2 linked regions of the Caenorhabditis elegans genome follow. The gene in region 1 interacts genetically with each later gene. Each region holds a gene or a part of one and is shown in the gene's direction. Other genes may lie near its edges.

Region 1 (4,854 bases):
AAGTTCTATTAATAAATTCTCTTGCTTCTTAAATTTTTTTTTTTAATTTTAAAAACTTTTTGTTAAAGATGTTAATTTTCTGTAGAAATTTTTATTTCACACAATAACCATTAGTTAAATTAAATTTATAACTGTTCCCCAAGTGGTTTTAAAAAATCAATAAAATGATTTCTTGACTATCGTAATCCTTCGTGACCCCTCTGTAGAGATTTTCTTGTGTTATGCAAGTACCCCATCGTAAATTTTCTTTTCTCGATACCCGAAGTATATCCGATCACATCTGTGTCTATGATGATACTGATTACTTTTCCATTTATATTTATCACCTTGACCGTTAATTTTCAATATTTAATTTTTCAATGACAATACAATGTTAATTTTTATAAGGTTATGTGGTAGAAAATGTTAGGCGAGGTTTAGAGAAAAATATAAAAGTTTATTAACTTTATTTCGCCCTTGGACGATTTTTTAAGCATCCAAATGACTCTTTTCATTTAAATTTTTATATTTTCCGATCCGTATATTATTTTCTTTTCAACTAATTTTATTAAAACATACGGCTATATGAAATAAAGCACTGGAACGCAGAAAGTTAGAGAGAAAAGGAGCAAAGCTTCCCCTTCTTGTTTGTATGTATGTGCTCCTTGTGTGCATGTGACATAGAAGAGCCGACGTCGCTGCGCCCCTGTGAGAATTCATGCATGCTTGGCACGATGCCAAGTTGTATGTGTCTATCTTCACCTCCTTTTTCTTCTTCTTCTCGATTGCTTCTCCCTCTCTTCCAAACGAGAACGTGATGTCGGTCTCTCCTACTGTAGGCTACTAGTTGTCTGTGTCTAATACTCTCTCATTGTCAAAGACTTCAAATCGGGAAGATTGTGATGGTGGTTTGGTGACGAGAGAGAGATAGAGAGAGAGAGAGAAAGACACTGACGATGTCGTCGTTATCAGTGTATTTCTTCTTCTTCCTTTTCTTCCATACACAATCTGTAATTCTCTGTCGTTCTCTCAATTTGATTATCACTATTAAATGTATATTCATTCATTCACGCCCATAACTTTTTTGACTTGACTGAATCGAAAATCGAATCGATGGCCGCTCCCCGATAATAAGAAGGAGAGAGAAAAGAGAGACGCTGCAAAAATTTTTTGTCTTTGAATGACCTCTATTCGTCGTATTGATTGACTGCTGCCGTTTGTCTTTTGTGACGAAATTTTGTACAGTTCCATTTTCTTTTATTTCAAAAATTGAGAGAAAAATATCTAATGCTCGGCGTTAAATTTTCAATGAAAAATTTGTTCACTCAAATTGGCCCGAAAAGTCCGAAATTCATAACGAAACTTTTCAATAATTCCTCAAACTTTTTTATAGCAGTTTTACCTAAAATTCTAAATTTTGAAGAATTAGCCTTTATGCAAAATTTTGAATGGCCATAAAAGATTTTTCAATGAATTTCTGAAGAGTTTCGTAATTTGATATTTGATATTTTCAAATGGATTTTTAGTGTATTTTATAAAGCAAAACATTCTTCAATTTATTTTGTTTTCCGAATCTAATATTTAAATATCTCTATGAAACTTTAATACTATTTTTGATACGCATTCAATTATAGATAATTGTTAAACGTTCTTTTTTCTCCGAAATTAGGTTATTTCTATTTGTTCTGTTTCTTTATTTGTCGCTCGGCCATAATAAATCAATAATTTACGGCAATATACCTCTAATCTCCCCTTTTCTGCGTAATTTTTACCGAATTTTTACAGCACATCACCATACAAATGAGCCACGCCTGACCTCTTGACCAGCTACAGTAACCCAAAAAAAATTATCGTAAGTTTTTTCGAATTTTTGTGGAAAATTTGTGAATTGTATTCTCAAATGGATAATTATTTTTACAGAGTCCCCCGAAATTGCTGAAAAATGAAGGAGATGGTAGGTGGATGCTGCGTTTGTGCAGATGAGAATGGTTGGACAGACAATCCATTGATCTATTGTGATGGAGAGAATTGTGAAGTTGCAGTACATCAGGGTGAGTAGAAGTTCACAGAAATTGAAAAATTTTAGTATTTTTCCCGATATTTCGAAAAAAAATCCAACGTTTCCAAGCATTGTTTGAAGTTTTGCTTTTTTCCATCTTATTAGATGAATTTGATTTTTTTTTTTCGATTTTCTCTCAAAAAACCAAATTTTCCGATTAGGCCCCACCGAATTTTTATCATTTCAGGATGTTATGGAATTCAAGAAGTACCCGAAGGCGAATGGTTTTGTGCAAAATGTACGAAAGCATCAGCTATGATGCCCGGCAGTATAAATGAGGCAACATTTTGTTGTCAATTGTGTCCGTTTGACTATGGAGCATTGAAAAAAACTGATCGAAACGGATGGGCTCATGTAATTTGTGCACTTTACATTCCAGAAGTGCGATTTGGGAACGTACATAGTATGGAACCAGTCATATTAAATGATGTACCAACTGATAAGTAAGTTTTTCTCAAGAATATGGGTAATTCAATATGAAAAATGTGTCTGATCAAGGGTGAATATTTTTTGAGTTTTCGACTTTCGATTTTTTGACTCTCTGGAAAATCTCAAATTTTAAAAATTTCCGGTACATTTCTGAACCGAAATTTTTTTTCCAGTTTTTCGATTTTTCGACTTTCAAAAAAAAAACAACAACAAAAAATCTAAACATTTTAAACTCTTTCTTTGAAAAAATCTTGAAGTTTTATTACTATCTCGATCAATTTATATATTTTATAGATTCAATAAACTGTGCTACATCTGCAATGAAGAACGTCCAAATGATGCGAAAAAAGGTGCATGTATGTCGTGTAACAAGTCGACGTGCAAGGTATTTTTATTTTTCTTTAAATTTCTTGTAATTTAAACGAAATTTTCAGAGGAGCTTTCACGTAACCTGTGCTCAGCGGAAAGGACTTTTATGTGAAGAAGGGGCAATAAGTCGGAATGTCAAGTATTGTGGTTATTGTGAAAATCATTTGAAGAAAGCGGTATGTTTATTGAAGATTTATGCGCTAAAAATTGAGAAAAAAGTATTAAAATCGATTTCTTAATATTTTAAGAAAATCAGGCCAGATTATCACTTGGTTTTTCATAGAAGTGAAAATAAAAATAGAACTACAGTACCCATCAATTTCAAATATTTAATCCCTAGTCATACTGGTGCTGTGAAGGTCCGATGCTTGATAGACCAGGTGGATAGACACCTGTCTCTTGAAAAACTAGAGATTGTACGGAGTATTAGAGATTCAGAGAAGTAAAAATATGAATACAATCGTGTGTGCCCGCTTCTTCTCTGCATCTCTTCTCAGGATACTCTATTTCTGAGTCACAGCATTGGGACCCTGGAATAGCAACACAGCCATTGCGCTTCACTCTTAGAGTGAAAGAGATAGAGATGGAGAAAGAGACGTCCTCCGTCCTGTTTTCATATCTGCGTCTAAAATCTCTTTATCCTGAGAAAAAGAAACCGAAAGAGAGGTTGAGAGAGAGAGGGAGACATTGTCGAAGGAGGTCCGCGTGCTTCCACATACACATACACACACCATCCATTCAACACAACACACTTGAGAAGATGGAATAGACGAGAGAAGAGAGTACAGACGTTTAGACGAAATGAAATGGGTTGGGCCAACGGCTGGCTGGATGGATGGCTGACTGAGTGTGACAACGACAAATAGTGCTCGGGGGGGGGGGGGGCACTGAGAGAGATAGACGAAGAACTCGGAGAGACATAGACACAAAAAGGAACAAATTGCTGTCGGGCCAAGCGAGTTTGGAAGAGAAAGAGACGTGCATAGAGTGTCTCTCTCTCTCTCAATTTCATAAGCTTAGATGATTCTCTGCGTCTGCTCTTCGCCGCCCCTTCTGGACTTCTTTTTCTCGGGTGGCCCCCGGCGGCCGTTGTTTCGTCTGCGCTTCTTATTTTCCTCTTTATCGTCATCGTCGTATTCCTCGCTTTGTCCTGCTTTTTCGTTTTCTCCGTCCGTACGCACACATACATACACACGCACATAGTGAGGCAACATCATTCTCTTGTGCTTCATTTGGTTCTTCTTCGACGAATACTCGATAGATTTGAATATAGTCGTCGCCACGTCATACTCTACATTTTCCTGCTACATCATCCTTGCATCTCCCCACTTTCTCACTTGTTACGGTTTTTGCTTAACTCTCTACGTCTCTACTCACTCTCTCACCTACTTTCCTCTTCTCGTTGTGTTTGATGTCACCTTTCTCATCGTCTTCCGTCAATGGAGTTTTTTTGTCGCCAAAGAGAGACATTCACTCATTTTCTCTTCCGTCTCCCTGAAGTAGTTCTATGTTCTTTTTTTTTTTTTTCTAGACTTTGTCATTTAACATTTTTGTTTTACATTTTGGTACATTCACAGAATTATTTCTAAATCTAAATTAAACTTTTGATCTTGAAAGTAGGCCTATCATATAGGCCTCACCGCCTGCCTGCCTCACCTTAAGACGATCTTCGCCTGTTTCCAACTAAGTTGAATGTCTTGATTGTTCTCGGGGGTTGTCAAATTTTTGATGTTATTCTAATTCACCTAATTTAAATTAAACGGTAACAAATATCATAAAACCCTTTAGTTTTTTTTGAAAAAGTCTAATAATCTTTATTAGTTCTTTTTACTAATGAGGACGCTGCAAATTTTTGTTTTTTTTTTCAAAATTCAGCACAAACTTTTCCAAAACACTGAGCAATGTTTTGTTCCGTCTCTTTTCAATATCTAAGTCTCCCTTTAGCTGGTCTCTACACTTCTCCGAATATCTTCAACTTCTAAGTCTATCAATCATGGGATCCTTCATTGTTGTCTTAC
Region 2 (7,015 bases), on another chromosome or scaffold:
GCTCCATTTTCTTCTGGTCACAAGCTCCCAGTTGTGTTGCTCTCGTCAGTTCTTTTTCATCGAAACGACGGGCCTATTTGTTCATTTGATTTGATTCGGGAATTGAATTTGACACCCATCTCCGGCACGAGACGTGTATGTTGGCTCTTCACATTGCGAAACTCGGCCTCCCAGTTCGGATGTTGGAAAAGTTTATTCAAAAGTTCAAATAATATGTTTATGTGCTCCTCGAGTTCGTCGATATTAAATTTCTGGCATCTTTTTTTGAATTTCGAAAACAATTAAATTATTTATATAATTTTCAGGCTCGATTCTGCGATTTTTAGCAAAAAATACGGTACCTCTCGACGCGCCAAATTTTTGATAAATGTAGAAAGCTGTGCGCCTTGACAGAGTACTGTAACTTTAAACTTTGCTGCGGAATTTCCATCGATTTTTTATAGTTTTCCGATAGAAAATATTGATTTATTAAATAACTTGATTAAAACAATGAAAATCCATGAATTTACCTATATAAAATCAAAACAATCCGCAGCAATGCGAGTTACAGTACTCCTTGAAGGCGCAAACAAAACTTTATCGTGTCGAGACCTGGTACCGTATTTTTGGTGCAATATTTTGCGTCCTTTTGCTTAAGAATATCGTTGATTTCAGACAATTTGTTTTAAATGTTTTCTTTGCTTTCTTCAACTTAAATATTTAAAAACTAAAAACTAATTTCCGAAATGCCAAAAAATTCTACCAGTTAGGTCATTGCTCTTATCTCTTCTACAGATCGATCGTCCCCGTTTTTCTCAATTCGATTCTCATCTATATTTTCCTCAATTCTCTCCAAACAATAACAAGAATATTTTCGAAATGAATCACTGTTTGAAAATTCTTGAATCCTTCCTCCCTCATCCGTTTGCATGTTCATTGCCCATTTGACACTCGAGCAGCAGGTGGCCTGTGTCTCTTCACTCTTTTTCGATCTTTTCATTAGGTCAGTGCTCATCATCATCATTAATTACTCTCGAATTCCGAGCCGTAATTATTCTTTACTGTGTGTGTGTGCTCCGTTCTCTCGGAAGTTGCGTAACGAGAGAGTATTACAAAAAAGAGATTAGAGGCATGTTGTACAGTAATCTAAAGATTAGATTCACTTAGATACCGAAATCTACTATTCTTTGTCTTTCTTTGCCACGTTTCTCACTATAATTTCACGATTCATTGATTCGATTTAGCACTTGGAACCAATGTCAACATTACACCATTTCACTTTTTTTGAAAATTCAATGTTTTCTCATCAATTGAAGGTCAATTTATGGACCGAGTCTTCTATTTTGAATTCCAATAAAACCTTCCAAAAAATGTTTATAGAAAATGTTTCGAAGAGAAATCCCTAAATTTAGCCAAAATTTTTAATGTGTCATCTTTGCCAACTGCCGGAAAGTATTTGTGTTGGTTTTCTGATATTTCGAGAAAAAAAAAGATTTTTCGTAAAATATCTAAAATTGTTGGCCATTTTCCTCCGTTTAGAAGAATTTTTTGAAAATGTTTATCCACATCAACAACTCATTAAAAATTTCACTTTTTGTTAATTTTCTAAACATTTTTTTTCGATTTTTTCTGAAAAAGATTTTAGCTATTTACTTAAGTTCGGTTTTTTTTCCAAATTTTGCCAAAAATCATTTTTCTAGAATTTTGTTCTCTCCATTTCACAAACTATTAACTAAATAATGTTGAACTTCTTCTATACATATAACCAAAAAAACTATTTCTTTAATAATTTTTTATATTTTCAGACGAATCCTGCTATGAACTAACACTTGTCAATCTGAAATCTCTTCAAAACTATCAATTACAATGCATCGACATATTCTGATATTATTTTTATTCGGATGCTTATCAGCTGATCAACGACTCTCATCAACTTCAATTTCATCGATGAATGGATTCTCAACAACTCGAAAATGTGAACATATTACAATTCCAATGTGCAAAAATCTGGATTACAATCAAACAGTATTTCCAAATCTTCTCGGACATACAACACAATCTGAAGCTGGTCCAGCAATTGCGCAATTCAATCCATTAATTAAAGTTAAATGCTCAGAAGATATTCGTCTCTTTCTTTGTACTGTCTATGCACCTGTCTGTACAGTACTCGAAAAACCAATTCAACCATGTCGAGAATTGTGTTTATCTGCAAAAAATGGATGCGAGTCATTAATGAAAAAGTTTGGATTTCAATGGCCAGATCAATTGGATTGTAACAAATTCCCAGTAACTGATTTGTGTGTTGGCAAGAATTCCAGCGAGTCGAGCAACTCTAAAAAGTGGGTTTTCTGCATAATTTTATGAATAAGAATTTATAATTGATATATATTTACAACAAAAATTTCAAAAGTACCCAAAACATGAATTAAAGTTTAAATTTACGGGAACCGTTCTAGAATCCTTTTTTTAAATACAGCGAGAAATTAAATTGTAAATTCAGTTAAAATCATCGGTTTTGCATTTAAAGAAAAATAATAATAAATTCAGAATGGCCTGCAAAGACCGAACCTCGTAAGAGTTTTCAAAAAAAAAAAGCTCTCTGAAAATTAAATTTACGGCCGCTGTGATACTGACAAGTTTGGCTGAATTTAAGTATTATTCCGAATTTTTGAGCCCCATAAAAACTCCTACTCCAAAGCGTCAAATAGTTTTTTATCAAAGTTTTTGAATTTAGAAATTTTCCGAAAAAAATGTACATCGAGATTTCTAAATTCTTTGTTTTATCGAACAATAAAACAAGTTTCCGTAGATCGAAATATAAAATATTTCAAGTTACAGAAGTAGTAATGACGTCACATTCGGTGTTTCAACAATTGCCAACGAAGTTGTCCTTTCTCCAAAAAAATGCCCTCATCATATGCATACAACAAGCGGATCTCATTTTTCATTGCCTCTTCTCAGTGGACGCCTTCCTGAATGTTCATTAACATGTGAAGCTGACAATCAAGTACCAATGATGTTTGATGGACGTGTTCGACGAATTCTTCGAATCTGGACAGCAGCATGGTCTGTGGCATGTTTCGTGTGCTCTTTATTCACTCTTGTCACATTTCTTGTTGATTTATCACGATTCGCGTATCCAGTTCGACCGATTTTGTATCTCGCGTTCTGTTATCTAGCAATTTCTACGGTTTATATGATAGGTGAGTTGAATTTTCTGTTTTTTTTAAATCAGATTTTTTAGAAACTAAAAATGTATTTCTACAGGCGTAGTCGGTGAAGATGGATTCGCTTGTGGAACGTATGGATCTACTCCAACAACACTTGTTACGCAAGGAGGAGAAAATGTTGGATGTAGTGCTCTTGCTGTTGTTCATTACTTTTTCTTCATGTCAAGTTGTGCGTGGTGAGTTTTTTCGTTAATTTTTGTATTTTAACGAAAAAAGTACCGTTTTTTGTACCACAAATAGAAAACTGGTTTTGAAAATGTGCATTCGAAAAAAAATCGGCATGTTTTTCTTTTGTTCAAACACATTTTTCAACAAAAAAACGACAACTGAAACATTTTTTTTTTAAAGAACTTTTTGAATATTTTGATAAAAATTTTAATTTTTATAATTTCGAGTGTAATTTTTCAGAAAAAAATTACATTTATGATTTTCGACAATTTTCAGTAACAAAAATCTAAAAAATATTTTTTTTAAACCAAATTTTAAATGAAAAAAACCCCGTTTCCGGAAAATCGGAAAATCAAAAAAAAAATTCAATTTTTATCAAATTTTGTTCATGAAAAAAATGTATTTTTTCTTCAAACAAAAAAAAAACAAAAATCGAAAATTTTTGTTTTCATTGAAAAATCGAAAATCGACACCCAAATTTTTAATCTTGATTTAAACAGCTATCAGCCTTTTTAAAATGATATTTTATATACTAAGTATTCTTTCAGGTGGCTTGTACTGTGTCTAGCCTGGTTCCTGGCGGCAAATCTGAAATGGGGAGCTGAATCAATTGCTGCTCTGTCACCATACTTCCACGCAATGTGCTGGGGAGTTCCAGCAGTTCTCTCGGTTACTGTACTAGTGACAAATTCTGTCGATGGAGATGTATTTACTGGAATCTGTTCAGTTGGAAATTTGAATCCCTCTGCTCTCGTCTATTTCTTTTTCACTCCGATCGTTGTATCGTTGGGTTAGTTTTTTTGTGAATATTATGGTGGGGGAAGACCGAAATTGAATTCGTTTCGTTGTGTGTTCCATCGTTATTTATCTTCGTTTTCTTCTCAGAAATGTTCTATTTGCAGCACTCGGAGCAGTTTTACTCGTTTGTGGAATTTGGTCAATGATCCGTATTCGAAGTTATATTAAACTTCAACACGCCGATGTTGAGAGGAATATCAGTAAATTGGAGAAATTAATGTTGAGGTTCGATATTTCAAATTTTTGAAAATCTTCAAAAGTACCTGAGCTTTTTTAATCAGAAAAGAAATACTTTCGATTTTTGGAAAACGAAAAATTGGAAAAACATGTACAGAAAAAGACGAGCAAACTAGGTTTACTGATGTAGATATATTGATTTCAGTTTGGAAAGTTGATAAATTATTCTAAAACCCGAGAATTCCCTGGAAATCATTTTTTATTTAAAATTCCAAAATTTCAGAAAAAAAAAACGAAAAAATTGGATTTCCTAAGAACCGAACAAAATAAGAAAAACTTAAGAATCGCTTTTCTGATATTCGTTTCATATTATCATACAAATATTATATTTTCAGAATCGGTGCCTTCGCCATAATGTACTCTCTACCAACTGCAATGAATGCTGCAATTATGTGGTATCAGGCAGTAAATATGCCTGCCTGGCTTGAAGGATGGCTTCATCATCGATGTGTTCGACTTCAAGATCGAGAATTATTCGGTTTCACGTATCCAGTTGATGATTGTCCGATGGATCCGAAAGTTGCAGCTCCGGAGATTATTGTTTTTCTTTTAAAGTTAGTTTGAAACTGTGAATCAGTTAAATTTCAATCTGTATAATCTAAATTTGATTTTCTGATTTTTGCGCCAAAAATGCGACATCCGGTTTCGACAAGACGAATGTTTGTTAAATGCAAAAATGTATACGCCTTTAAAGAATACTGTAGTTTCAAACTCTTGTTGCTGCAGAATTTTCATCGCTTCTTGATAAAAAATATTCTTATTTAAATATTAAGCAATTCAAACACAAAAAGCCTAACATAAGAAAAACTATTCATGAAAAATCGATGTAAATTCCGCAGCAACGCGACTTCGAAGTTACAGTACTCTTTAAAGGCGCATATTCGACAAAATTGGATCGTGCCGAGACTGCATAATTTCGCGTCTAGTTAATATGAATTATTTATCTTGATTCGAAACCCCTAAATGTTCTTATTTTCAGATATGTGTCTCAATTGGTTGTTGGTATAACCTGTGCCATTTGGGTTGTCTCTTCAAAAACTCTTTCAAGTTATCACAAGGCTTACCTGGCACTCTCTTCGAGGTCACCTACTGTACCTGCTCATGTTGATCAGGTTAATATGAGGTGATAGTCTCTTCTTGTCATTTTATCCTATTTATATGTATTCTCATTCCTTTTCTCACTTTTTTCCCAACCAACTCAAATGTTTCTTTTTCTTCATTCTTTGTAACTTTTCTGACTTATTCTTATGCTCTCTCTTGCTCATCGGACGGCGCCCATCGGTCCCCTTCCTCTCACAGAATCATTCCCCAGAGCATGATCCATCTCTGTGTCTACACTCTCCTCGTCTACTCGTTGTCTCTCAATGCTTCCTGATTTGAGTTGCGACGAGCACATTTCTAAGAACCGGCTCCCAAAGATGCGCTCTTACATAGCAAAAGAGAGACAACGAGTGGAAAAGATGGTGAAAAATGATATTTTTGAGTGGAATTACATTGAAATCTGACAAAAAGGGCAGAAAGAAGCTTGAGAAAAGTCAAAAAAGAACCCCCTTCAATTCAGGTTACTGTAGATCAGTTCTCTCGCTGCCATTTTTCATGTATCTCGTTTATTCATGTTCTTAAGTTCTGTTGTCACCAGCTCCAGCACAAGGTTCACACACTTTTTTTCACACTTTGAGCACTCCAATCAGGGTAAAACCACTTTCATCCCAGTCTTTGTCTCGAATTTAGAGTTATGAATTTATTACTCATTATTTATGCGGTTGCTTATTTTTCTTCATCCTCAATTTCTTTTTCATCGTATATTCATATATAAATTATACATTATTATTATTGTTTAATTTGTGACACGGCGATTGAAAGAACCTAAAATAAGGATTGCAAAGAAAAACGGATGGTTATGAACTAATAATAAAAGTCATGGAAATCCTTGAGAATTGATTTTGAAAGACAACAAGCGAAACAGACTCCGACCAATTGAATTGCTGCCAAAACTGCACAAATTCCGCCGACCATTGCTCCATTCTTGAGCACCCATTCTGCAATTAAAAAAACAATCAAATTTCCGATAAGCCCAATCATGCTCTATTGAGAAAGTGCAACAGAGCACACTTTGATCTTCTTGGAAAAAAAAGACTAACGTTCGACACTGTGAATGCATCCGGGCTCAAAGAGTGGAGCATTCTCTCGAGCACATCCCTCGATTTCTTCAATGCAACATGAATCAGGAATTGTTGTGAATGTGAGCCAATCGGATGAATTTGTTACTCCACAACATTCAAACAACTAAAATTGAAATTAATTTGAATTTTAAATGCTGTAGTTCTACTTTAATTTTTTTTTTGGAAGTTTTGCTAAATTAAAGAAAAACTTCATGAAAAATACAGGTAAAAAGTAAATAAGTTTTCGAATCAAAATTGAATATTACGGGAACCTGAGAACTTGACGCGCAAATATCTCGTAGCGAAAACTACAGTAATTCTTTAAATAGCTACTGTAGCGCTTGTGTCGATTTACGGGCTCGATTTTAAGATAATTTATTTAAATTGAGCCAGTAAATCGACACCAGTGATACAGTAGTCATTCAAAGAAATACTGTAGTT

Evidence for each region.
Region 2: of zfp-1 (region 1) and mom-5, changing one enhances a phenotype caused by changing the other (phenotypic enhancement), as found in Caenorhabditis elegans (one large-scale study listed by BioGRID).

What each region holds. Positions count from the first base shown.
Region 1 is NC_003281.10:8,796,634-8,801,487, forward strand, and holds the start of zfp-1 (Zinc finger protein zfp-1), read left to right. Parts: upstream 1-1,764; 5' UTR 1,765-1,831; intron 1,832-1,899; 5' UTR 1,900-1,921; coding exon 1,922-2,030; intron 2,031-2,225; coding exon 2,226-2,481; intron 2,482-2,761; coding exon 2,762-2,852; intron 2,853-2,899; exon of another isoform or gene 2,900-2,901; coding exon 2,902-3,012; intron 3,013-3,852; coding exon of another isoform or gene 3,853-4,068; intron 4,069-4,854. Other genes in the region: F54F2.6 (uncharacterized protein), read right to left, coding at 3,853-4,068. UniProt on the Caenorhabditis elegans protein: Recruits the histone methyltransferase dot-1.1 to chromatin to methylate 'Lys-79' of histone H3 and activate transcription. Recognizes and binds histone H3 methylated at 'Lys-4' (H3K4me) at the promoters of target genes.
Region 2 is NC_003279.8:9,963,796-9,970,810, forward strand, and holds mom-5 (Protein mom-5), read left to right. Parts: upstream 1-1,784; 5' UTR 1,785-1,845; coding exon 1,846-2,318; intron 2,319-2,811; coding exon 2,812-3,182; intron 3,183-3,246; coding exon 3,247-3,385; intron 3,386-3,925; coding exon 3,926-4,167; intron 4,168-4,279; coding exon 4,280-4,400; intron 4,401-4,747; coding exon 4,748-4,966; intron 4,967-5,391; coding exon 5,392-5,539; 3' UTR 5,540-6,242; downstream 6,243-7,015. Other genes in the region: tsp-7 (Tetraspanin), read right to left, coding at 6,318-6,451, 6,554-6,698. UniProt on the Caenorhabditis elegans protein: Receptor for Wnt proteins.